7 linked regions of the Nothobranchius furzeri genome follow. The protein of the gene in region 1 purifies or fractionates together with the protein of each later gene. This does not show direct contact. Links are inferred from orthologs where the notes say so. Each region holds a gene or a part of one and is shown in the gene's direction. Other genes may lie near its edges.

Region 1 (2,181 bases):
TAAACCTTCTGCGGTTGCAATCCAAGGTGGGCAAGGTTTTCTCTGACCCTATCGCTTTTCCGTCTATCTTCTTTAGACAGCCAATGCAGGAAATAGAGGTAGGACTATTTTCACATTCTGCATTCATGCGAAACCCAAAGTGACTGGTGGCATTCCATAAAGAACAAGTTTTACAAGGTTTCCCAGTGAATGAGAACATTAAAATGTATCCATGTTAGCTTAGAGAAAGACAAAACAAACTGAATTAGTCTTTAGATTTAAGTGTACAGGCATCCGTGTTGTTTTCCGTAAAAGTAAGATGTTCTGTAGTTAAATATCCTCTAAAAATGAACTAAATAAACTAGGTTTTGGCTTTTGTACCACATATTGTTAAAGGAGTTCTCCAAGGAGTTTCCAAAATGTCTCCAAATGTTCTCGAGCGAGAGGCAGGGCCTTGCATTTGTCACTTAAAAAAAATCTAAAATATTTAGCCCAACAATTTTCCTCACAGGTGTTCTCAGTCCAGTTCCTGTGAGAAAGAGCTAGTGACCAAGTTTTCTTACATGACCCAAACTTATAACGACGCATTGTTATTAAATCTGATTCCAGCTGAAATGTCTCAGACCAGTGAGAAACTGGCTTCAGTGTAATGTCCGGGTCAACTTTCTTTGGGTTTGTTGGTGTTGCTCTGAAAAATGTACCTCGTAATGAAAATGCATCCTAGTCACAAGAGAATCACTAGGTTCATTGCTCCCAGGCTTTGATCAATTATGGCTAACTGTGCTTCACACTTCTTATTGCTGAAAAATGACGAAAGTGTCTTCCAACGTTTTACAGGTCAGTTTGTGGCTGTTTGGTTGTTTTTGTTGGCCGAAATTAGCCTCTCCGTGAAGGTATCACATCATCTTCTGATGTAGCATTTTCAGTGAAGTGCAACAATGCACTGAACGCTCCGCAGAAACACTGTCTTGTGTTGGGTATCACAAAATCTGCAGACAAGTTTTGGAAACCCCATTTCTGCCATCAGGAAGTAATGTATCTGCCTTGAAGGAGTCCCACACTTTTTTTAGACAAAGCTTCGTCTTTTAGAGGTGCTTAAATTAAAGTGATGGAGTGAAGCGCATGGGTCTGCAAGCACCTGCCCCCACCAGCTCCGGTAGCTCTATCTCTGACCTCCCTGCAGAGGGACTAAATCTCTACAGGAGCCTGTAAAGTGTCTCATTATCCTGCTGCCTCCACTCTCCCAGCCTCCACTACAGTCTGCCGCTTGTCTGCCCCCACAGAAGCCGCTGCTGGGGCCACCGGGGGAGCTGCAGGTGGAGCCGCCGGGGGCCAGTTCACCGCTGGGGTTTTCCAGAAGACCAAGGAGCATGATGTGGTGCAGCGGCAGCGGGTGGTGGACCTCTGGAAAGACGGCAAGTCAGAGGGGGCCATTGGGCTGGAGCTGAGAATGCCCAAGTCCACGGTGCACAGCATCATTGTAAAGTACCGGCTCAGCAACACGGTGGAGAATCTGCCGCGCAATGGGAGACCAAAGAAACCCTGAAAGAAATCGGGAATGTAGCAAAACTGTAAAAAAGAAGGAATTGGATCGACAAACGAGGCACTTAGACACTCCTGGAATGAGAAGAGCATAAAAGGAGGACAGCTTGATGTGAGAGGGCATGAAATGCCAATCAGTTAAAAGATCCAAAGAAAAAAACTGGAAAAGGTGCTGCCGAAAAGAGGCTCTGAGAAAGAAAACGATACGTTAATGCATTCACGGGTTTTTATAACAAATGCAGCAAAGGAGCACTTTTCTCTCCACAGATTTCTAAGACTTCTTTTGTTTTTTTTCTGTTTCTCCGTCTGAGCCAAAAGACCCCCCCCCCCCCCCCCCCCCCCCCCCCGGATCAATTCTTCATCCTGAGGCTGACTGAACAAGCCTGTCCCCTCGCCCTGACCCCGTACTCCCTCATTCCTCCACACTCCTCCATCTCCACACACGCACACGCTTTTGGATCTCACACACAAAATAAAGCCCTGCAACAAACGTCGTCAATGTGCCGAGAGCAGGGAGACGAAACCCGGAAAGAACAAAGCCGGATCGAGATCATCAGAAAGAAAAAAAAGAAAAGTCTTCCAAATTTAAAGCACTTCTCCCCGTGGACTCTCGCTGTAGCATTCCTAAGCTCAACCAAGCGTAGATGCAAGATGTTAGAA
Region 2 (4,269 bases), on another chromosome or scaffold:
TTGTTCCAGCTGACAGCATCATGCTACCAGAACTTTAATCCGGACAGCACCCTCGCAGCCTCCTGCCGCTTGTCTCCAGGACAGTACTTGCGTGTGTGCGCTCTGTCCCCGGTGGCCTTACAGTTGGGACAGGTGTACTTCCGGAGGACGGGGCAGAGCACCTTCCCGTCGTCAGATTTGAGCTTGTGGGACCGGTACACCTTAGGAGACTCTCCGTTCTGCTTGCAGAAACTGCAGCTGCTTGCAGAAGCCCCGTTGTTGCTGCTGCTGTTGCTGCTGCTGCTGGAACTAGTCTCTGCGGAGATGCTGGAAGTCCTGCGCCTGGATGGGGTCTGGAGGTGTCGCCAATGGGGGTCCTTCTCGGGCTCCTCTGGAGCCACCTCCCTCTGGTCGCGCTTCTCCAGAAGGCTGCTCAGGTTCATGTAATCATGCCACATGTCGAAGCAGTCGCCACCGTGCAGGAACGAGCTCTGGACGTCCACCCCACCTTGCATCTTTATGGAACAAAAATGTGCAATGGTTTGCGTTAGAGAGCATCGTTGCATATTTATAGGCGCCAGTAAGTCGTTTTAAATTGCAACAATGTTGATGTCTTGCAGGTGTTTGGGTTGTGCAGGGTAATGGCTTTGTTTGAACACTTAAGGGCAGTTGCATTTATTTAGGTAAAAAAAATGTTAAAACACGTGCAAAGGTAAATATTTTTCACAATGTAGGCCTACTACAATCTGTGGAATGTTGTTATTGTTATTTCCTGAAGCCCCAATCAACAAAATATAAACAATGACTTTACTACAGAGTAGTCCGTGGATTAAGATGTTTATGATCTTTATTTTTGAATACTTGTGCAAAAATTTGATTATTAAAAATTATAAATGAACGCATATTTTATCTTTTTCCAAACTTTAAAAAGGTGCACCTGTTTTGCTCTGGTGCACGCTTTTCGATATTTGCGCCTGTGACACATTTAGATGTTAATATTTAGATTTTGTAATTGCATGTGTTGCCTAAGTTTGTAAATGTAGTTTAAGGACAAATCACAAAAGCAAAACATGAAAACAACAATAATAAGTGATGGTGAAAATGTCTTGCATACACTGTGATCAGTGTGTGTGCATGTGTGTGTTCCTGTGTGTTTATGTGCATGTGTGGCTACCTTGCCGACCCACCGTTAACCCCTTAATGATCCTTGGCGCCTCAGTGTCTCATCTAAAACACTTCAAAATAAACACCTGCACCGTTTGAAAAATGTTCAGTAAAACTGACAGAACGCATCGCTCTTTGAAGTTAAAACAAATCTGTCAACCCCTAATTGTGAGTGGGATGACTCTTTTGGCTTCTGAACCTTAACACGTTCAACTTTTGACCTACACTTTCACTTTTGAAGACGTTTTCACCCTTTTAATCAATGGAAGCGTCATATTTACAAAACAAAAGCCTCGTGTGGGCGTGGCCACAGAAGCGTACGAGGACTCCTCGTACGTGCCTCGAGGCGCATGCGTAGTTATTTACCGGTGACGGCTGTACAAACGGTGGCCTAACGAACAAGGGGATTACGAGCACAACCCGATAGGTAAAATAAGTAAAACATTTACACTTTTTTATTTATTATGTTTAGAAAGCCTTTACATTGACAAGATGTTTTACCATTTTTGCCAGAGACATCTGGGAAACGCCAGACTGTCCGCAGTGCTAAGCTTGGTCTCGACCTAAGCTAACATCCAGCTAGCCACTAGCTTACGGAGTTGAGTAGGAGGCTAATACCCGCTGTGATATAAGCAGCCTGACCCTGTCTGTACGTTGCTGTAGTACTACCTTGTGTTTTTAGTAGTGTCAGTTGACTTCGACAGGTTTTCTTCACCAAAATTGACATGTTTGGTTTCCTGCAGCCCACGCAGTAAATTCAGAGAATGCTAACCTGCTAGCAAGGTCTCTTAATACTTTAGCTGAAGCAATGTTTGTTTAGAGGAATGATCTACTCATTGACTGTGAAAGAGACTGCTGAAGTAGCAGTGTGATCCACCCAACCTTTTGCTATGACTGTCAGAGGATACTGGGCGACGTTTAATTCATGAAGGAGGCTAAAACCAAGATTAGGATCTGCTCTGATCCAGCTATGCTAAAACAATGGCTCCTAATCCTAGTCAAGTCTGTGTCGATCATAGGTATTTCTGTGCTCTCAGGCATCACTATGAGTCAAAGTAAGGACAATGCACGACTCAAGAGCTACAAAAACAAGTCTCTTAACACAGATGAGATGAGGAGGAGGAGGGAAGAGGAAGGCCTGCAACTTAGGAAACAGAAGAAGGATGAACAAGTAAGTCAATGGTTAATGTGACCGTAAATGAATAAAATGTCAGAATTTGCAACCAAATAAGCATCTTGTTCTTTTATAGCTTTTTAAAAGGAGGAATGTTGCCACTGTGGAGGATGAGGGCACCCTTGAGGATGATGGAATGGCTGATAGTGGCTATCTGGAATCTCAGGCTAACAACCTGGACCCACTAATGGTGGGAAAATATTCCTTCTTTTTCTGCAATCAACTCTTTTTATTTATATATTTATTTTACTACCGTTTAAAATCACATGTCAAATAAATTCTTATTTTGTCACCTCACAGGGTGGGGTGATCTCTGATGACATGATTCAGATGATCTTCTCCAGCTCTCCGGAGCAGCAGTTGATAGGCACTCAGCGCTTTAGGAAGCTTCTTTCAAAAGGTTGGCTTTTTTTTTCCTTTTTTTAAATGTGTGCATTTTAAACCATGCACCCTGTTTCAAAACATCATGATTTACTACCTGAGTTGAAACATTTAGTGGTTACATTCCTACAAATGTTTTTCTTGCGCAGAACCCAACCCACCCATCGACGAAGTTATTGCCACTCCGGGGGTGGTCGAGTGTTTTGTTGAGTTTCTGAAGAGGAGAGAAAATTGCACATTGCAGGTTTATTTCCCAAAGTTAAATAAAATTTCCTCCTCGTGTTGGACCGCATCCTCTCTCTGCCTTGTATGGTGTCTCTAATTCTGCTCATGGTTTAATACATTTAAGCCTTTTTTGTAATTATCTTTGTAGTTTGAGGCAGCTTGGGTGCTGACCAACATTGCTTCAGGGACATCCCACCAGACGCGGGTTGTGATCCAGGCTGGAGCTGTGCCCATCTTCATAGAGATGCTGAGCTCAGATTTTGAAGACGTTCAGGAACAGGTTGGTCGAGTTTTCAGGCTTATTTCTGCATCAACAACCTTATATCTGTTAACTTTTTTTTAACAAAAACATGCAAGAACTGGCCTGTGATGTTCTTGTTATACAAAATCATACATTCATGTAGTGCTTGTTGTCTAAAATGAATAGTTGTTTCACTCCTCAGGCAGTGTGGGCATTGGGTAACATAGCAGGTGACAGCACAGAATGCAGAAACTTTGTCATCAACTGCAACATCCTGCCTTCCCTGCTGCAGTACGTCATTGATCTCTTTGTATAATTTTAGAAAATAAAAATGGAAAAAACAGCATCTTTAGGAATTTTTGCTTTGTTAAATCCCGCTTTTAGGTTATTGGCCAAACAGAATCGCCTAACGATGATGAGGAACGCCGTGTGGGCGCTCTCAAACCTGTGTAGAGGAAAGAACCCACCCCCAGACTTTGCTAAGGTAATTTGCCAAGATATACTATCGCTATGGCAACTGCACATCAGAGCACATTTCAAGGTCACAGGCAGGATGGTCTTCTAATTGAATCCAAAAGCAAATTTCCTCTTAAATCTCCTCATGTTCTCCTCCTTGCCCCGTCCAGGTGTCCCCATGTCTCTGTGTGCTGTCCTGGCTGCTGTTTGTTAACGACACAGACATCTTGGCTGATGCATGCTGGGCACTGTCCTACCTATCTGATGGGCCTAATGACAAAATCCAGGCTGTTATTGACTCAGGAGTCTGTCGGAGGCTAGTGGAGTTGTTGATGTAAGAATTGAAACTTTTTTATTCTGCAGCGTGTTGTAGAAGCGTGTGTCCAGTCCCAGATTCTTTCATATGATCCACACATCTCCTTCCCTTTAGGCACTCTGATTATAAAGTGGTGTCTCCAGCTCTGCGGGCTGTTGGGAACATCGTCACTGGCGATGATCTGCAGACACAAGTAATGACATCATCAACACAAACTGTTAAATAAACATGAATGTTCTGATTTGAATCTGATTTTTATTTATCCTTTCAGGTGATCCTGAACTGTTCAGCTCTGCAGTCCCTACTTTACCTCCTGAGCAGCCCAAAGGAGTC
Region 3 (2,664 bases), on another chromosome or scaffold:
CAACGTTCTCGTCACAGGAAATACAGAACAAATCTGATAAACCTAAATTAACCCAATGGTGACAAGCACTTACCGTTCATCCACGCACACACTTAACATCCCGGTGCTGCTCCTCGGGCAGCAACATACTGCAGAGAGGAACCCAGAACATAAACCTGAAGCTACATGAACCTAAAGAGATGCACGTATAAAGGCTTATATATCTAAGCATGCGTCCGGTCACTTCAAAATAAAGTAACAAGGGAAGATTGGTCGCAAAACTCAAGACTTTGAGGGCTTTGCTACAGTTAGAGATGGTAGAAAAGAGATTGCTAACATTTTGAGTGGGTGAGGTTAACCAGTCTTTCCATTGTAGGGCTTTGTGCTATTAATCAGTAGCCTAGTGAACTAGACCAAATTCTTGCTTTGCAAAGTTTGGTCTAGGCACGCTCCACTGGAACCTCAGCAGCTCCTACCAGGACTCTGGCTAGCCAATCACAGCTCTCTAGAGGGGTTTCAAACACATAAAGAGCTGTGATTGGTCCATAATGGTGGGCCAGTCATAGTGCTCTATCTGCTTAGTGAATAAATCACAGAGCTTTATCCGCTTTGTGGGCCAATCAGGGCACTCTATATGCCTGGTGGGTGGGATGATGCAACAGAGTGAAACAAGAGTATGTCACATTCATTGCAGTGGAATGCGGAGATCATTTAAAAGACAACGGTAGAACCCGCCCCACAACCGAGAGCCGTCAATGGAGCATGGCCAGACTAAATAATACATTTATTTAGTCTGGCTTGCCAGGCTAATTAATCAGGGCTCTTGGGCCATTGTGAGCCCCAACAAAGTTTCATATGTAGAGGCTCAGAGAACAGTTTATTATTGTTAAAGTTGTTCTAGAACCCATTTAAGACCAAATTCAACATAGACATTTAATGTTTAGAGCTAAGGTTGGCAACTACCTACCCAGAGGGTCGATATCCAGCATGTTTTAGTTCTTTCCTTGCTCCTAAATACTTGATTTGATGGTTGAATCACCTGTTAAGCAGCTCATCAGGCTCTGTAGAAGCCTGTTAATCATTTTCTGACTCAAACCAGGTGTGTTGAAGCAAAGGAAACACTAAAAGACCCTTGTATTTAAATTTGCTTTTACTTAAATCTGTATAATGACTTTTGTGATTTTAATGATCTTTCATCTGTTTTCTGTTTTTGTGTGTGATTTTTTTATGGCCTTGTCCTTTCATTTAAATCTAATGTTTTAATATTGTGCAGCCTTAGTTGTTTCCATAAAATATTGCTCTAATTTGCAGAACTAGCAATGTAAAGCAGTTTAAAATTACTTATTTTGCTCCAACTTCAGGGCTCTACTGGCAGTCAAGTACCTCAGAACAAATACGCAGAGCTGCTGGCCATCATCGAAGAGCTTGGAAAAGAAATCAGACCCACATATGCTGGAAGCAAGAGTGCAATGGAGAGACTGAAAAGAGGTGAATCAGAAAAACCTGAGAGGAAACGGGTGAATTAAAGCGCTGCAAGTGCCAAAATGTATGAATGAATCTAAATGCGTTTGTTTGTTTCTTAGGCATAATTCACGCCAGAGGGCTGGTGCGTGAATGCTTGGCTGAAACGGAGAGAAATGCAAGATCCTAGCTGCAAAGGCACATTCCTCCCTGCAAGAAGAACTACATTTCATAAAAAAATTCAAAACAAAACTTGCATGGCATCGACTTTGCAAGGAGGATATAAATGAACCAGGATGGAAAAGCAAGTTTTTAGAGGAGAAACAAAATGATGCCTAAGGAGGATCATTCCAACCATGTGAATGGGTTAATGGGAATCCGCTGAGAAGGCACGTTGTGTTTTATGCCCCACTTTGGGATATTGGTTTGACTTAATATCTAAATCATTGGTTTTTGCATGCGAGCGGACCTGTGGGTTAATTGTAGACACTGCATGGCTTGTACAGAAGTAGATGGAAAAGACTTCTTTTGTTCTTTTGTTGCTGGTATTCGGTCTGATTTTCAGATCCTCTGACACACGATTGAGTTGAGTGATGTGCCAAATGCATCAGCTCATCTGTGATGAAGTTGGTTTTGGTATTAACAAAGAAAAGGAACATGCTGTAACTTGCATCTTTGTATGTATTTATTACTCAGTGTAATAAATTGTATTTTCAGTACAGTGGACATTGTCATTCACTGTGTTTTCGTTTTAAATGAATTGGGTTCTTGGCACACGGGCGGGTCAGAACCTTTGTGAAACTAGAACTCACTTTGCTATAACTCAATGATTTCAGTGGCTTCAGCTTCATTTGTACCAACCATGTTTAGACATAATGGAGTTTTTACCACAGTTTAGGATCAACTTGACCTAAATAGTAAAGTTATTACTATTTATAACGGATTTTACTCAAATTTGACTTTAGATTTAAAAATCTATGGTCGTTTGAATTATTTTTTTAAAGAACAAGTCACCCCCAACCAGATTCTTATTCAACTCCCACTTCCTGTTTGAAAAATGCAACAAATGCTGTTGCCTAGCAGACCAAGAGGATGGAGCCGCTAACAAATACACACACTCATGACATTGTGACATCATAATGTACCATCTAACATCATAGTGGACCTCTTAGCCAATAGCAATGGCAGATTTAAATTCAAATGCAGTGCTAAGGTTTTACCAGA
Region 4 (4,152 bases), on another chromosome or scaffold:
TACTACATAAAGTTAAGTTTTTACTGAATAGTTCTGATTGCTGACTTAGTATAACTCACTAATTGTTCCATATTTGAATTACTGTGTAGAAATATGGGGATCCACATGTAAAACTCATACACAACCACTCTTTATTCTACAGAAAAGAGCATTGAGAATCATTAATAACAATCACTATGGAGATCCATCCAATCCGTTATTCATCAAATATAAACTAATGAAATTTTATGATCTAGTGAAAATGAAAATATTGCAAACAATGTATAAAGCTAAAACCAATACGTTACCCACCAACATTCAGAAAATGTTTGAAAAAAGAGTCAGTAATTATTTCTTAAAGGAACTGAAGTATTTAAAAAAACGAAATTTAGAACCAGAATGAAAGAAATGACTATCTCTGTAAATGGCGTGAAGAAGAAGAAGAAAATATCATTTCTATAGCGCCTCTCAAGATAAAAATCATGAGGCGCTTCACAAAAACAAAAACTATAAAAAATTGTAAAAATATAAAAAATCACTTAGAAAATGTTTAAAAATATATTTAAAGTGAGCAAGAATAAGCAATTGAGAATATGGAACAACCTTAGCAAAGACATAAAAGAATCAAAGTCACTAAATATATTAAAAAAATGTATCAAATCAAGTGTATTACAGAACTACAATAACCTAAATTAAGTTGGTGTCTGATTAGGTCTGTAAGTTACAAGAATATATAATGAATCTGTGTTTTGTTTTGTTGTTTATTGAGAATTGTATGGAAGCATTATTAAAAAGTTTGGTTTGTCAATAGGGGTAGATAATGTAAGATATTTCTTCCTTCTGCCCCTTTTCATTCAAATTGTTTGGTGTTCATGTTTATGCATGTTTTTGTATGTTTTTTGTATATATATATATATTTTGACACTTTGAATGAAACAAAGAGAAAAAAATTATAATTATCAACAAATAATAGAAAAAATGGCTACTACAAATTTCAAAATGACTAAAAGTAAGTGGATTGTTTGTGTATGTGTGAATATAGTAATTATATTTGTTTTATTATTGGGTTTCTGGATAAAATGGGCTATAAAAAAAGCACAAATGGGAACATACATGAAATGCACAGTTTTATGCCCTTCCAGATCAAGTCTGTATGTGCAAATGTATTTTATCAGCAATAAATCAACGCAGCTCCACCTATTAATAAAATCACGATTATAAAAAGTGTAAATTGTGCAACTACTTTCTTACAAGCTGAAAGCAGGTTTTAAACTATGTTGCAGGATAAATTATTATCTGCACAACTCTGCCCCCTGCTGCTCGTCTGCCGTCGACACAGCGCTTTGTGCTATCAAGCTATTGGAGAGACGCCCTCTGTCCGCCAGGAGGCAGCCAACACCGACTGGTAGTCTGCAGGCAAAGATGGCGGTGCGGAAGAAAGACGGCGGCCCCAATGTAAAATATTTCGAAGCATCTGACACCGTTTCGCAGTTTGATAATGTCCGCGTCTGGCTGGGCAAGAATTACAAAAAGGTACTGAGCGCATGTTTTATAAGCGTGCTCACGGAGCTTTCTTATTTTGCCCAGAAACGTACGCGCTTACCTATGGAGGCAGAGGCAGTGACAAAGAGAGGAGGGAGGGTGCTGCTGAGCGTCCAGCTGTTTGATTCACTAAAAAAGGATGCTGAGCCAACCGCAACATCAGACGCGGCCGCAAAAGTCGGTGTCTGTAGGTCTTGCTGTAGCCAAAAGGATCCAAAGACACCACACAGTCCCGCCGGAGGGAGCGGAGTTTAGAAAAAGAGATATTTTTGGCAAAGCAGGCTAGCTAAGCTAATCGGCTAACGGTAACGCGGCTCACATCCAGATGTTGGCTGTGTGGCGCGCCTCTGGCTCTGGAGTCATGAGCGGTGTTAAATAACACTGACCAGCGCTTTATCACGTAGATTTAACAAAACATGGTGTTAATGATCAAAAAAGTCACAAGTATCCATTCATTAATGATGGATAATTGTGGAATTAATCACATTTTATTTAAAAAGATCTAAAGCTTTTTACGAAAGAAATCTAGTTTTCCTTGTCCACCGAAGTCTCCATTATCCAGTTACAATAACACACTTTAATAATGACTAGAATAAGAAACAAACAAATACACATATGTGAACACTGCTCATGTGTATAAAAGAATGCAGAGATTTAGGCAATAGACAGTTAATGAGATAGGATTCACAAAAGGACGATGGAATAAATGCTTTATTTATATAGTGTTGCTAATGTATAAAACACCCATATGAAGCGAGGAATGAGAAATATACTGAGTTTACCCAGCAATAATACTATATAAACTGATAAACATACAGATCCATCTACATTATTTACACCCATAAATAAAAGATGCATACACAGGAATAGTGATAAAAGTGAAACTTCCAGAGTTCCCATAAGTTTTTCCCATCTCCCCAGTACATCCAGGCCGAGCCCCCCACCAACAAATCCCTGTCCAGCCTGGTGGTCCAGCTGCTCCAGTTCCAGGAGGAGGTGTTTGGCAGACATGTCAGCAACCCTCCCCTCACTAAGCTGCCGGTATGTCACACTTATTTACCCCCACCCCTCTCTCTAACAGATTACTCACCCCTTTGCCCTCAGGCGATGTAATATGAAGCTGTTTTATTTTCTTTCTGCAGATGAAGTGTTTTCTAGACTTTAAATCAGGGGGGGCTCTCTGCCACATTCTGGCTGCTGCCTACAAGTTCAAGAGTGACCAAGGATGGTAAGAGCTTCTTTCTGACTGGTCTCATCATGCATCTTGAGTGAAATAAAAGTGGCAGTGCTCTGCTGCATTTAGGCTGTCCTGCTGTTTTGTGTGTAACTCCAGTTTAATTTCCTGGTAGGCGCAGGTTTGACTTCCAGAATCCATCGAGGATGGACCGAAATGTGGAAATGTTCATGACAATTGAGAAATCTTTAGTACAGGTGAGTTTTTCTCACTGATTTTATTCACCGTTAAGCTTTTAAAACTCATTCCTTGGACAGTTATGCTGTAATAATTGTTTTTCATCTTTGTCAGATAATTGTGGGGTTTTTCTGATTTATTCTAAACATTTAAACATTGAGGTTTTTGTTTCTTTTGTGTTTCTGCGAGTAGCCGATCTAAATAGGTTATCTGTGCTGGGAACGCTGCTTGTCTCCTGTTTTTACATCACGTTTAGGAAGTGTCTTTAGAATCAGAGTGGTGAGATTTAAAGATAGAAATAACAAAAGACAGCCTTTTCTCTGAATCAGACACACTTAAATGCTCATTTATAGGATTTGAACCATAAAACTAGAGTTACAACTTGAGCTGGTTCTCCTTGATTCTTGTAGAACAACTGCCTGAGCCGACCCATCATCTACCTGAGTTCTGACATTGAACCGAAGCTGCTTGGAAAACTGAAAGACATCATTAAAAGACATCAGGTTGGTTTTTGCATAGTTTTTTTTAAACAAAAGTGTTATTCTGCTGTGCATGTATAATCCACACAGCCTTTTTGTGCTGCAGGGCTCCGTGACTGAAGACAAGGCTTCCAGCTCCCACGTTGTGGTTCCCATCCCCACCAGTCTGGAGGAAGGTGAAGCCTTGTTATGTTGCTCAGCTCGGGTTTCTTATGAATTCTGCTGCTTTTCCACTTTAGTTCTAATACAACATGATATTTGTTGGTCCAGAAGAGTGGGTGCGTCCTGTGATGAAGAGAGACAAGCAGGTCCTCCTCCACTGGGGATATTTTCCAGACAGGTTGGTTCTGACTTGGCGCTTCAAACACAGCAGCGGCACACGCGTTTTTACCATTGAATGAGTCCTAAACGGTCTTCTTTGTGAGCTCACTGAACCTACACATTGCTCCTTGTGTGGTATTCTCACAAGCCTTGATGTGTATTTTGTTCCCTTCTGTTGTTTTTAGTTATGACACGTGGATTCCTGCAAGTGAGATTGAAGCTGCAGTGGAGGATCCTCCGAGCCCAGAAAAGCCCAGGAAGGTCTTTATTAGTTTTATTTCTAATCATTAGTTACTCGTATATATATATATATATATATATATATATATATATATATATATATGTATGTATCTATATACATATATATATATATATATATATATATGTATATACATATATATATATATATGTATATACATA
Region 5 (3,901 bases), on another chromosome or scaffold:
CCCCTCTTCCCCTTCTGCCGGTCCCTTGTTCTTCCCCAGCACAGTATGGCCATGGCTTTTGGGTTCGGTGTCTGCAAATGACTTTAGAAGAATGTCCTTCACTGGAAAGAAGAAAGGAAAAGAAACGCCAAAGATGAAAGAGGGAGCACATTTGCAAGTGGCGGATGTGTCTTATTTTGCATAGCTCTCGCTTCTGCTTTCTTCTTCTCTTTTTCTATTCACCTGAGCGGATTTAAATAAATCCATGAAGCGTGAAATATCAGAAATAGAAAAGTAATGCATGAAATGCATTTTCAAAAGAGTCTCCCCTCCCACACACAAACAGGCGTAGACAGTTCCTCCACGTGTTTCGTTTTCCCGTGGACGGGTGCTTTTTCTGATAAAAACCGCTACAGTTTATTAGCGTGCGACCTCTTGTTGGCGTTCTGTGCTAATAAGCAGCGTCCCATACATGTCCTACTTTAGCTTGGCTAATTCTGCAAACAAGGTATTGGAGGGGAGATGAGTGTGTTTAACCAGATTAGGCGTGCATTGTCAGGCAAATCTCAGGTCAGCCCACAAGTGCAATTGAAAGTCAATTACTGTCTGAGTGATTTCCACGTTGTTGCTGTTGTCTGTTTAATCCAGAGTTTAACAACAAAATCACACTTGTTCGTTGTAAATATTGGTTTGTGTGACAACACCACTGAAAATGTGCGTTTACACCGAATTCCACTTTAGTCATTCGTTATGGAAATCAAATATGATGAATTTAGAAAAAAAGGTGGAAATGAATGATTTTGATGCTGTTGTGTGATTTTTCAAATCTTTTCATGAACAAATCTGCAACCATGTTGGAATGTGACACACCTGCTTTGTCTTGCATTGGTTTAAATTTAGGTTTTCTCTGTGTGTCTCCTTTTGTGACAGATAAAGATGAGCCCAGCAGCTACACCTGCACAACGTGCAAACAGCCCTTCACCAGTGCCTGGTTCCTGCTTCAGCACGCCCAGAACACCCACGGTTTCCGCATCTATCTGGAGAGTGAACCTGGCAGCCCCCTCACCCCTCGTGTGGCTGCGGCTCCTGGGATGGGGGGCGATTGCGCCTCCTCCCAGCCTCCCCTCCACGCTGTGCACTTGGCCGACGGCAGCCCTTACAGCCTTCTGAAGATGCCGGGTTCTGGGTCTGTCCGGGATTCGGCGTCTACACCTCGCGAGGGTCGATATCCCAGGACACCCCCGCTGTTCAGCCCACCACCACGTCACCACCTTAGCCCCGATGACCTTGCCTTGGCAACCCACCATCCTAGCGCCTTTGACAGGGTGATGAGGCTGAACTCGGTGCCATTAGAATCCCCTCAGAGCATGGACTTCTCTAGACGCCTACGGGAGCTAGCCGGCAATGCCACTGGAGGTTCTCCGCCTCTGTCCCCTAACAGACCCAACCCTATGCAACGGCTGCTGCAGCCATTTCAGCCAGGTTCCAAACCTCCATTTACAGCCACGCCTCCCATGTCCACCTCCCAGTCCCCTTCTGGATCCCGCTCTACCCCTAATCCTGTATCCAATGCAGTCCAACCAGGCACCCCCGTCAAGTCAAAGTCTTGCGAGTTCTGCGGGAAGACCTTCAAGTTCCAGAGCAACCTTATCGTGCACCGGCGAAGCCACACAGGGGAAAAGCCTTTCAAGTGTCACCTCTGTAATCATGCCTGCACACAGGCCAGCAAACTAAAGCGCCACATGAAGACGCACTATCAAAACAAGTCTTCGGCGCTAAATGCCAAGTCAGACGACGGCCTCTCCACCGCCAGTTCTCCTGAACCTGGCACCAGTGAGGTGGTGGGCAGTGCCGCGGATGCCCTCAAGTCAGTGGTGGCCAAGTTCAAGAGCGAGAACAATGGTCTCATGACTGGAAATGAAGAGGAGGAAGATGAGAATGAGGAAGAAGAAGAGGAGGAAGAAGATGAAGATGAGGAGGAAGAAGAAGAGGAAGAGGAAATGGATAGAAAGCCTGATGTAGAAGAAGATGGGAGGAATGACTACCGTTTCAGCCTGCGGTTAGAGGGGGCCCGTCACCACCAGAACACTGAAGCTCTACACCCACATCGCCGAAGCTCGTCCCGGGAGCCCGTTGATGACGACTCAGCCGTGGAGTTGGATCGTGGAGACGATGGCTCCACCACCACCCTCAACGGCCTGGGACCGTTAAATAATGACAAGCTCTCCAGGAAGCTTTTGGGTGGTGGGATGAGTCCTGACTCCATCAGCTCACTGTCAAAGCGCATCAAGGTGGAAAAGGACCTTGACCCCCCAACGCCCACCATCCCAAACACAGAGAACGTCTATTCTCAGTGGCTAGCTGGCTACGCGGCTTCTCGGCAACTCAAGGATCCCTTCATCAGCTTCACAGGTGGGGACTCTAGACAATCACCCTTTACATCCTCATCCGAGCACTCAGAAAACGGCAGCTTGCGCTTCTCCACTCCGCCTGGTGAGCTGGACGGTGAGCGAGCCGCCTCAGGACGCAGCGGCACCGGCAGCGGGGCCAGCACTCCCCACGGCGGCAGTGGGAATGGCAGGCCGAGCTCCAAGGACGGTCGCCGCAGCGACACCTGTGAATTTTGTGGCAAGGTGTTTAAAAACTGCAGCAACTTGACAGTGCACCGCCGCAGCCACACTGGAGAGCGGCCGTACAAATGCGAGCTGTGCAGCTACGCGTGCGCCCAGAGCTCAAAACTCACCCGCCACATGAAGACCCACGGACAGATGGGCAAGGACGTGTATAAATGTGAAATTTGCCACATGCCTTTCAGTGTGTACAGCACTCTTGAGAAACACATGAAGAAATGGCACAGTGACCGCCCTCTGGCTAATGACATTAAAACTGAATAGACAAAGAGCAGTTCTCCTTCAGCTCCCCCGGCTAGAAAGCAACCCTGCCTAACTAGCCAACAAGCATGTGGGGGAGAGACCACAGGGTCAGACACCAGAACACAGTGCAGCCCTGCTTTCATCCTCTTCTGGAGAAAGCTAGATGCATGATCCACGATCGGGGCAATACTGATGCATCACAACTTTTTGAGCCTTTCTATTGTGCAATAATTTACACATTTTTGTATTTTTTGTAACTGGACAGCATGCTTGGTGTGTTTTGGCTACTTAGAGAGAGCAGCTTGTCCGTGGCTGGTGTGGGTTTGGTTGTACATGTGTTGCTGTTGATACTTTAGGTTTTTTTGACATAAACAAAAAAAAAGATTAGTCTAACCCAAGCTGCGTACGGTACACACAGTTTTACATATCATGTGCAGTTTTGTGTTCAAACATAGCAGACGGTGTCATATTTTCAAAACATCAAGACAAGCAGGGTTAAACATAAATCCGATCCGGGGTTTTCCCCCAGAAAATGAGTTAAGCCTGGCGGAGGGGGTGGGGGGTCGCGCGCTCTGTCCCGCAGCGCTCCTCCGTGAGGGTGGGGGTGGGTGCACACGTTCCGCTGCTGTTTCTCACCAGTATCAGCTGATGGAGGGCTCTAGTTTCGTTGCGCCGTTCGTGTCAGCGGACACAGTAGGGTCGGGGGAGGGGTGGGGTGGGGCATGAGGCTTAGCCTGGCGGGTGGCCAAGCAAAGCCTGGCGGGCCGCCAGGCTTATAAAGTGCTGGGGGGAACCCTGCGATCTTTGTGAAAGAATTACAATGCAACACGGAGAAGAGATTTATCTATCTAAATGTACATAGAAAATCGGCTGCCTATTGAATTTTAGGTACTGGCGCCATTACGTGTTTCTTTTACGAACATCAATGAAATTAATAATGTGGTTTGAAATGACAACAAAGAGTGCCTTGGATACTTTACTTGCATTAGTTAATCCTCCTTTTTGCTATAAGCTTGGAGTTTCAGCTCTAAAGGGTTACAGGACATTGT
Region 6 (2,199 bases), on another chromosome or scaffold:
CATTGTTATTATTCATAGAACTATGTTTATTTACATGTCTAAAGGGGCAGCAGTAGCTCAGGAGGTAGAGCAGGTTTCCTCATGATCGGAGGGTCATGGGTTCCATTCCAGCGCCCACCAGGGGTATTCTGCTGTTGTGTCCTTGGGCAAGGCACTTCACTCAACTTGCCTGTGTTGGTGGTGGTCAGAGGAGCCGACGGCGCCAAAAGGCAGCCTCGTCTCTGTCAGACCTCCCCAGGGCTGTGGCTACGTAGCAGATTACCATCACCGGCAGTGTGTGAATGTGAGAGTGCATGTAAGCGTCTTTAAGTGTCCTTAAAAGCTCTATATAAGTCTGATGTATTATTATTATTATTATTAATCACAAGGATCCATGTGCATGTCTACAGTTCCAGCTCTGAAGAGAGATTTCTCTCTGCGCCTCCTGATGCCTTTTAGAGATCAACATCTTCTCCTTAAACCAACGCCTAGATCACAGACAGATAGGAGGACATGTCTAAAGATGCTGAAAAGTTCTGCGTCTGTCTTTAGGGACACTCCAAACTTTTATTTATTCCTGTTATTTTTTGTTTCTGATAACAAAAGAGTTGTTCTCACTTGGAACCACCAGGGGGCTTGTGAGTTATTGTTTGGGTGTTCAGCTGCATCAAGTCTCCTGCTCCGTTTTGTTTTTAGGTACCAAATCCAAAGCATTGACTCCACAGTGGGACATCATGGCCAAACGCGTTGGAGATGCAGGACGGCCCTCAGCCTCACTGCAGGATGAAGTTCATGAGCTGGACTGAGTCTGTAGGAGCCAGCGCCACTGAGGTGAGACTGGTGGGTCTGACTGGTTTCTGTGTGGTCCATTTTCCTTTATAAATACTCATCCAGTATGATAACATAATAAGTAGGAATTAAAGTTTATGAAAGCAGAAGGTTTATTACCTTCTAAGAGGTGGTTTAAAGGAACATATAAAGATGTGCTCTGCCAGAAAAAGGGGAGTTTGTTCCAGTTTAATGGACATAAAACATAAACCAGACTAATGCCTAGTTTATGCATATGAGTCGGTACGGAGACACACAACGTCATTATCCATCCTCACAAGGCCTCTCCAGCAGGCTCGCAAGGACGGATGAAGTCAAGCCCACTTATAAACATCCGTCAAATGAGACAAAGAATGCAAGCTTGTGATTGGTCTGGACACCGCTTTTGTCAACAGCGCCGCCCATGCACCCTCAAAAACATAGAGAGAGCCGAAGATATCTAGCAACAGATACGGAGCAGCTTGAAGAAAACCTCACGGAAAAACTAAAAATATGAACATTTTATTCACCCGTGACTGTAGGAGTAAAGAAATACGCAGCAAACGTTTTATTCGTGGATGGGACTGAAGGGGAACGTGGGTTTAGAGGGGGCGAGCACATGAAGAGGTGGAGGAGAATGAGGGACACATTAGTCTGTTAAAAAGTCTCTGAAATGCAAAAACACAATAAACACAATAGTAAATGTACTATCGTGGACCGGATACCACAGAACAGCGCTACGCCCTCCGTTGTTCTGGCGGGGAATTGCTTCGCAGCACTCTCCAGGAGACGGAGAAGTCCGAGAGCAAAACGTTTCCGCCAGTTTGTGTGCGTTTCTCTCTCGTGGAGCTGACAAGACATATAAACTGAGTCAAATACAGAAAGAAAACTGGAAAATTGATACTAGAAACACTTGAGTGTAAAACTGTTTTCACCAAATCGTATGAAACCTTGCAAGGCTAACAGAATCCTCACTGGCATCTGGAAGCAGGCGTGAGCACTTCTCAGCTTAGCTTTGGAGAGTCAGATAGTAATGTGTGTTCACAGGAGGCAGTGCCATTCTGTTTATCCACTGCAATCATAACGCTAGTAGATCAATGTGTCTTCTCAACAGATCTAAACATCATTTTCTGTGGATTTCAACATGTTTATGGTGGAAATGGACACATTTACACATTTCCTGTTCAATTACATAGCAGACATCAGAGGTGAAGCAGAGATTAGCGATGACTGGTGCAGGAAGTTGGCCCATCCCTATTGCTGTCTCTCTTTATGTCACCAACATACATGTTTAATTCTGCATGTGCTGCACATGCTGAAGACAAAGGGTAGCGGAGACACTCAACCGCAGTTTTCTGGCCAACCTCCATTAGCTTCGGTTAGCTCAGCTAGCTCATAGCTACATGTGCTGGT
Region 7 (3,500 bases), on another chromosome or scaffold:
GTTGAATAGAGCAGGTGACAGTATCCCCCCTGGTGCACCGTTACTAACAACTAAGGAGGCTGATGTGGGATTGCCCCATTTCACTTGCATTGTCTGATTAGAATTGCCAATATGCCAAAATCCTCACAATGATACCAGGGACACCTATTTCACTCAATTAACAAAAGAACTTAAGAGTGGTTGACCTGATCGAATGCCTTAGATTATTGTAGGCTAACTTGTGCAATATCGTTGCATCGTGATATTTTCGTATCGTGAGACCTGTACCGCCAATCGTATTGTATCGTGAGGTACCCAGAGGTTCCCAGGCCTACCAGTCAAGGATACAACCATAACTTTAAACTAAGAAATTACTAGGGATTCAACATGAAAGGTAAACAAATACTTTTTACTAAACTGTGTAAGAAATGAACTACTAGCCACAACGTTTCTTACTAAAAGAAAAGAAGTAATATTAGATCAATATTGGTATTAAAATGTAATATCAGAAATTATCTTTCGGTTTTTACAATTAAAACTTTTACATACCATACACACGTTATACATCAAACTCTTCAGCTACTTTTCCTTTTTCTCAAAATGTTGAAATGTGACAGATTTGAGGTTTAGTTTTTTGATCTATTCAGGAAAATCTGTCCCAATTTTAAAAAGAAGAAAAGGTTTGTAATATTTGTGTCTGAAAACAGGAAGTATGGCTGTTTAAGAGGATTAGTGAGTTTGTAATATTTAAATCAAAATATGATTGATGGTACTCTACTAATATAGAAAACCAGCATTATGGTTGTGGACAAATGTTCCTTATCCATGAGGTAAATGTTTATTCTTAGTCTTAACCTTTAATTATCTAATGTCACACCGCACCAAAGGGATAAATGTTTGAGTTTAATCAGTTTTTAGATTTATCTGTGTGCTTTGTAGTTATTTTTTATTTATTTTAAAACAAAATGGGAGAATTTCTCAGCATGTTTTCTGGTGTAATTTGTTTCTCTGTACTTTTGCAGAGGAATTGGAAGAGGAGAAGGAGAACCCCACAGAGACAGAACTAACAGAAAAACAGAAACACCAGCTTCGCCACAGAGAGCTCTTCCTCTCCCGACAGTATGAGAGCCTACCTGCGACGCATATTAGGTATTAAACTTAAAGGGCAGCATGTCGTCTGCAGGCAGAACCCACGGGTGGTCATTTTGCCACAAACGCATCATTGCCCACTTTCTTTTGTCCGTGTTTTACATGCTACGGGCCTCCTTTTCTCTCTTCTCCATCAGGGGGAAGTGCAGTGTGGCATTGTTGAACGAGACTGAAGCCGTTCTTTCATACCTTGACAAAGAGGTGAGCCTGAAGGGTGAAAAAGGATGTTTGTTTACTTTGGAGCACATCATATGTAGCAGGTTTGCTCTAAACTACACAGAAAACTCTTCTGGGTTCAGTTGAATAAGTGAACGGAGTTTACAGTCACTGCACGCATTGCACTACACCCAGTGATCACTGAATATAAACCTCTTTGAAGTTTGCAGAAATCCAAAGGGTTCGTTTATTTTCTGAGGTGATTAAGTGCCAGATGAAACCAATTAAACAACCAATTAATATACTGGTAATTATGTAGTTTAATACATTCAGATTAAAAGTCACACATATTTATTGAAATGAGCATCAATACTAAGGATTTGGGGTGTATATTGGCAGGAATGTGGTGATACAATAGTTATCACAATACAGGGACAATACCATATATTACGATACTAAAAGCTGATAAATGAAAATTTTACTACCTACATCTAAGATGCTTCTGGTATTATCGTGAGATCTTGTTAGTTAGAATGATGGCGGTAAAAGATGCTGCCACCTAGCAGTCGGAGTGTGAATTGCACCTCACAAATGAAATGCGGTAAGCTTTTGCATATTATTTCTCAAAGTATGGATTCACAGCTTTTAAATATCGGTTCTGTTTGATAAAATGCATAATTGTGGCATTTCAGCATATCAACATTTTCTTACATTGTAACCAAGCTTGTCAAATGGTGATTTCTTGACTTCATAAATAATAAATTTTATTTATTTATTTTTGTTTGTCAGGATACTTTCTTCTACTCACTGGTGTACGACCCGACACAAAAGACTCTGCTAGCTGACAAAGGAGAGATCAGAGTGGGACCACGCTTTCAGGCAGACGTGCCTGAAATGCTACAGGAGGGTACGATGTACAGTTTTCTGCCAATCCAACAATAATCTGATAGAAATGAGTCACACAAAAAGCAGATATGATCATATTATATATCCTTCTCTTCCTCTTTAATATGCAAATATGTTTCTGTGCATTCTCTGAGGTACTTCCTGTGTTTTTGCAGGTGAGGCAGATGACAGGGACCAGTCCAAACTAGAAGAGAAACTCTGGGACCCTGAGTGTCCTCTCACCGACAAACAGATAGATCAATTCCTAGTGGTGGCACGGTAGGTCTCCTTTACCCTGCTGCAGACCGCTTCCTGAGAGAATTCTCACCAAACTAAAAACAGAGGATGTTTAGCCCATTGTGACCTCATCAATCTCTGTTTGAATAAAATGTATTTATTTATTCTTTATTTAACCAGGAAGGTCCCATTGAGATTAAAAACCTCATTTGCAAGGAAAGTCCTGGCTAAGAGGCAGCAAATCCTTTGAACTTCTGACTAACAGTAAAAATGCACGTGTTTGAGATAACTACACGTGCATTTTACTTCCAGAAAAAGTTAAAAGGGGGGTTTGATATTATTTTCAGCCTTGGGTCCATAAGCAGTATCAGGTTAGGCTTCATGCTGCATAAAACATATTTTTACACCTCTAAGGTTGTGTTTATGAAAAAGGTGATGGGATTGTAGAAGAACTACTGATACATGTTCTGCGTTTCCTGTGTGTTGGTGGTTGCTGCTTTCAGGGCGGTTGGGACCTTTGCCAGAGCGTTGGACTGCAGCAGTTCAGTCAGACAGCCCAGCCTACACATGAGTGCAGCTGCAGCCTCACGAGATATCACACTGGTGAGTTGGAGCCGCTTTCACTCTGCACCCACTTGATCAGAGTTTGATTCATGGATGTTAACCCGCTTTCCACGGTTTCAGTTCCACGCCATGGATACGCTGCATCGTCACAATTACGATCTGTCCAGCGCTCTGAGTGTGTTGGTCCCAGCGGGGGGTCCAGTGCTCTGCAGGGACGAGATGGAGGAGTGGAGCGCCTCGGAAGCTGCCATGTTTGAGGAGGCTTTAGAGAAATATGGAAAAGACTTCAATGACATACGACAAGACTTTGTAAGTATTTTTTAGTGAACTCATGATGATTGACATGCTCATAAACAGCATTTGACGTATTATGTTGCAGGAATATTTCATTGTAATTGTGTCAATTGAAGCTGTTGTTCTGTGAAAGGACACGTTTGGCCATTTTAAATCTCACCTTTCCAACATTTAGGGGATGACCGATTCTTTTGAGCTCTTTTTTTTTTACCCGGTACTGTACAAAGCTGGGATAT

What was found.
Region 2: the proteins of chd3 (region 1) and kpna1 purify together in Homo sapiens (affinity purification with mass spectrometry; 3 studies listed by BioGRID and IntAct, with this or other methods). This does not show direct contact. The link is inferred for Nothobranchius furzeri from reciprocal best matches to the Homo sapiens genes CHD3 and KPNA1.
Region 3: the proteins of chd3 (region 1) and cyclin-dependent kinase 2-associated protein 1 purify together in Homo sapiens (affinity purification with mass spectrometry; 6 studies listed by BioGRID and IntAct, with this or other methods). This does not show direct contact. The link is inferred for Nothobranchius furzeri from reciprocal best matches to the Homo sapiens genes CHD3 and CDK2AP1.
Region 4: the proteins of chd3 (region 1) and smarcc2 fractionate together in Homo sapiens (co-fractionation; 3 studies listed by BioGRID, with this or other methods). This does not show direct contact. The link is inferred for Nothobranchius furzeri from reciprocal best matches to the Homo sapiens genes CHD3 and SMARCC2.
Region 5: the proteins of chd3 (region 1) and B-cell lymphoma/leukemia 11A purify together in Homo sapiens (affinity purification with mass spectrometry; 3 studies listed by BioGRID). This does not show direct contact. The link is inferred for Nothobranchius furzeri from reciprocal best matches to the Homo sapiens genes CHD3 and BCL11A.
Region 6: the proteins of chd3 (region 1) and mta1 purify together in Homo sapiens (affinity purification with western blotting; 7 studies listed by BioGRID and IntAct, with this or other methods). This does not show direct contact. The link is inferred for Nothobranchius furzeri from reciprocal best matches to the Homo sapiens genes CHD3 and MTA1.
Region 7: the proteins of chd3 (region 1) and mta3 purify together in Homo sapiens (affinity purification with mass spectrometry; 4 studies listed by BioGRID and IntAct, with this or other methods). This does not show direct contact. The link is inferred for Nothobranchius furzeri from reciprocal best matches to the Homo sapiens genes CHD3 and MTA3.

Annotation. Positions count from the first base shown.
Region 1 is NC_091742.1:58,681,412-58,683,592, reverse strand, and holds the end of chd3 (chromodomain-helicase-DNA-binding protein 3), read left to right. Parts: intron 1-1,262; coding exon 1,263-1,525; 3' UTR 1,526-1,681; downstream 1,682-2,181.
Region 2 is NC_091747.1:50,442,547-50,446,815, forward strand, and holds the start of kpna1 (importin subunit alpha-5), read left to right. Parts: upstream 1-1,469; 5' UTR 1,470-1,570; intron 1,571-1,812; exon of another isoform or gene 1,813-1,953; intron 1,954-2,180; 5' UTR 2,181-2,188; coding exon 2,189-2,314; intron 2,315-2,393; coding exon 2,394-2,507; intron 2,508-2,617; coding exon 2,618-2,717; intron 2,718-2,847; coding exon 2,848-2,942; intron 2,943-3,071; coding exon 3,072-3,203; intron 3,204-3,366; coding exon 3,367-3,455; intron 3,456-3,548; coding exon 3,549-3,648; intron 3,649-3,790; coding exon 3,791-3,954; intron 3,955-4,050; coding exon 4,051-4,129; intron 4,130-4,207; coding exon 4,208-4,269. Other genes in the region: nanos homolog 1, read right to left, coding at 24-494. UniProt on the Homo sapiens protein: Functions in nuclear protein import as an adapter protein for nuclear receptor KPNB1. Binds specifically and directly to substrates containing either a simple or bipartite NLS motif.
Region 3 is NC_091746.1:75,840,991-75,843,654, forward strand, and holds the end of cyclin-dependent kinase 2-associated protein 1, read left to right. Parts: intron 1-1,340; coding exon 1,341-1,467; intron 1,468-1,562; coding exon 1,563-1,630; 3' UTR 1,631-2,164; downstream 2,165-2,664. UniProt on the Homo sapiens protein: Inhibitor of cyclin-dependent kinase CDK2. Also acts as a component of the histone deacetylase NuRD complex which participates in the remodeling of chromatin.
Region 4 is NC_091743.1:50,346,100-50,350,251, forward strand, and holds the start of smarcc2 (SWI/SNF complex subunit SMARCC2), read left to right. Parts: upstream 1-1,352; 5' UTR 1,353-1,401; coding exon 1,402-1,512; intron 1,513-2,442; coding exon 2,443-2,562; intron 2,563-2,663; coding exon 2,664-2,749; intron 2,750-2,870; coding exon 2,871-2,952; intron 2,953-3,342; coding exon 3,343-3,435; intron 3,436-3,517; coding exon 3,518-3,587; intron 3,588-3,681; coding exon 3,682-3,751; intron 3,752-3,917; coding exon 3,918-3,993; intron 3,994-4,152. UniProt on the Homo sapiens protein: Involved in transcriptional activation and repression of select genes by chromatin remodeling (alteration of DNA-nucleosome topology).
Region 5 is NC_091746.1:23,955,025-23,958,925, forward strand, and holds the end of B-cell lymphoma/leukemia 11A, read left to right. Parts: intron 1-909; coding exon 910-2,873; 3' UTR 2,874-3,401; downstream 3,402-3,901. UniProt on the Homo sapiens protein: Transcription factor. Associated with the BAF SWI/SNF chromatin remodeling complex. Binds to the 5'-TGACCA-3' sequence motif in regulatory regions of target genes, including a distal promoter of the HBG1 hemoglobin subunit gamma-1 gene.
Region 6 is NC_091758.1:21,719,414-21,721,612, reverse strand, and holds part of mta1 (metastasis-associated protein MTA1), read left to right. Parts: intron 1-675; coding exon 676-785; 3' UTR 786-810; exon of another isoform or gene 811-814; intron 815-2,199. UniProt on the Homo sapiens protein: Transcriptional coregulator which can act as both a transcriptional corepressor and coactivator. Acts as a component of the histone deacetylase NuRD complex which participates in the remodeling of chromatin.
Region 7 is NC_091756.1:43,855,651-43,859,150, forward strand, and holds part of mta3 (metastasis-associated protein MTA3), read left to right. Parts: intron 1-1,001; coding exon 1,002-1,128; intron 1,129-1,265; coding exon 1,266-1,329; intron 1,330-2,073; coding exon 2,074-2,191; intron 2,192-2,345; coding exon 2,346-2,448; intron 2,449-2,909; coding exon 2,910-3,009; intron 3,010-3,090; coding exon 3,091-3,279; intron 3,280-3,500. UniProt on the Homo sapiens protein: Acts as a component of the histone deacetylase NuRD complex which participates in the remodeling of chromatin.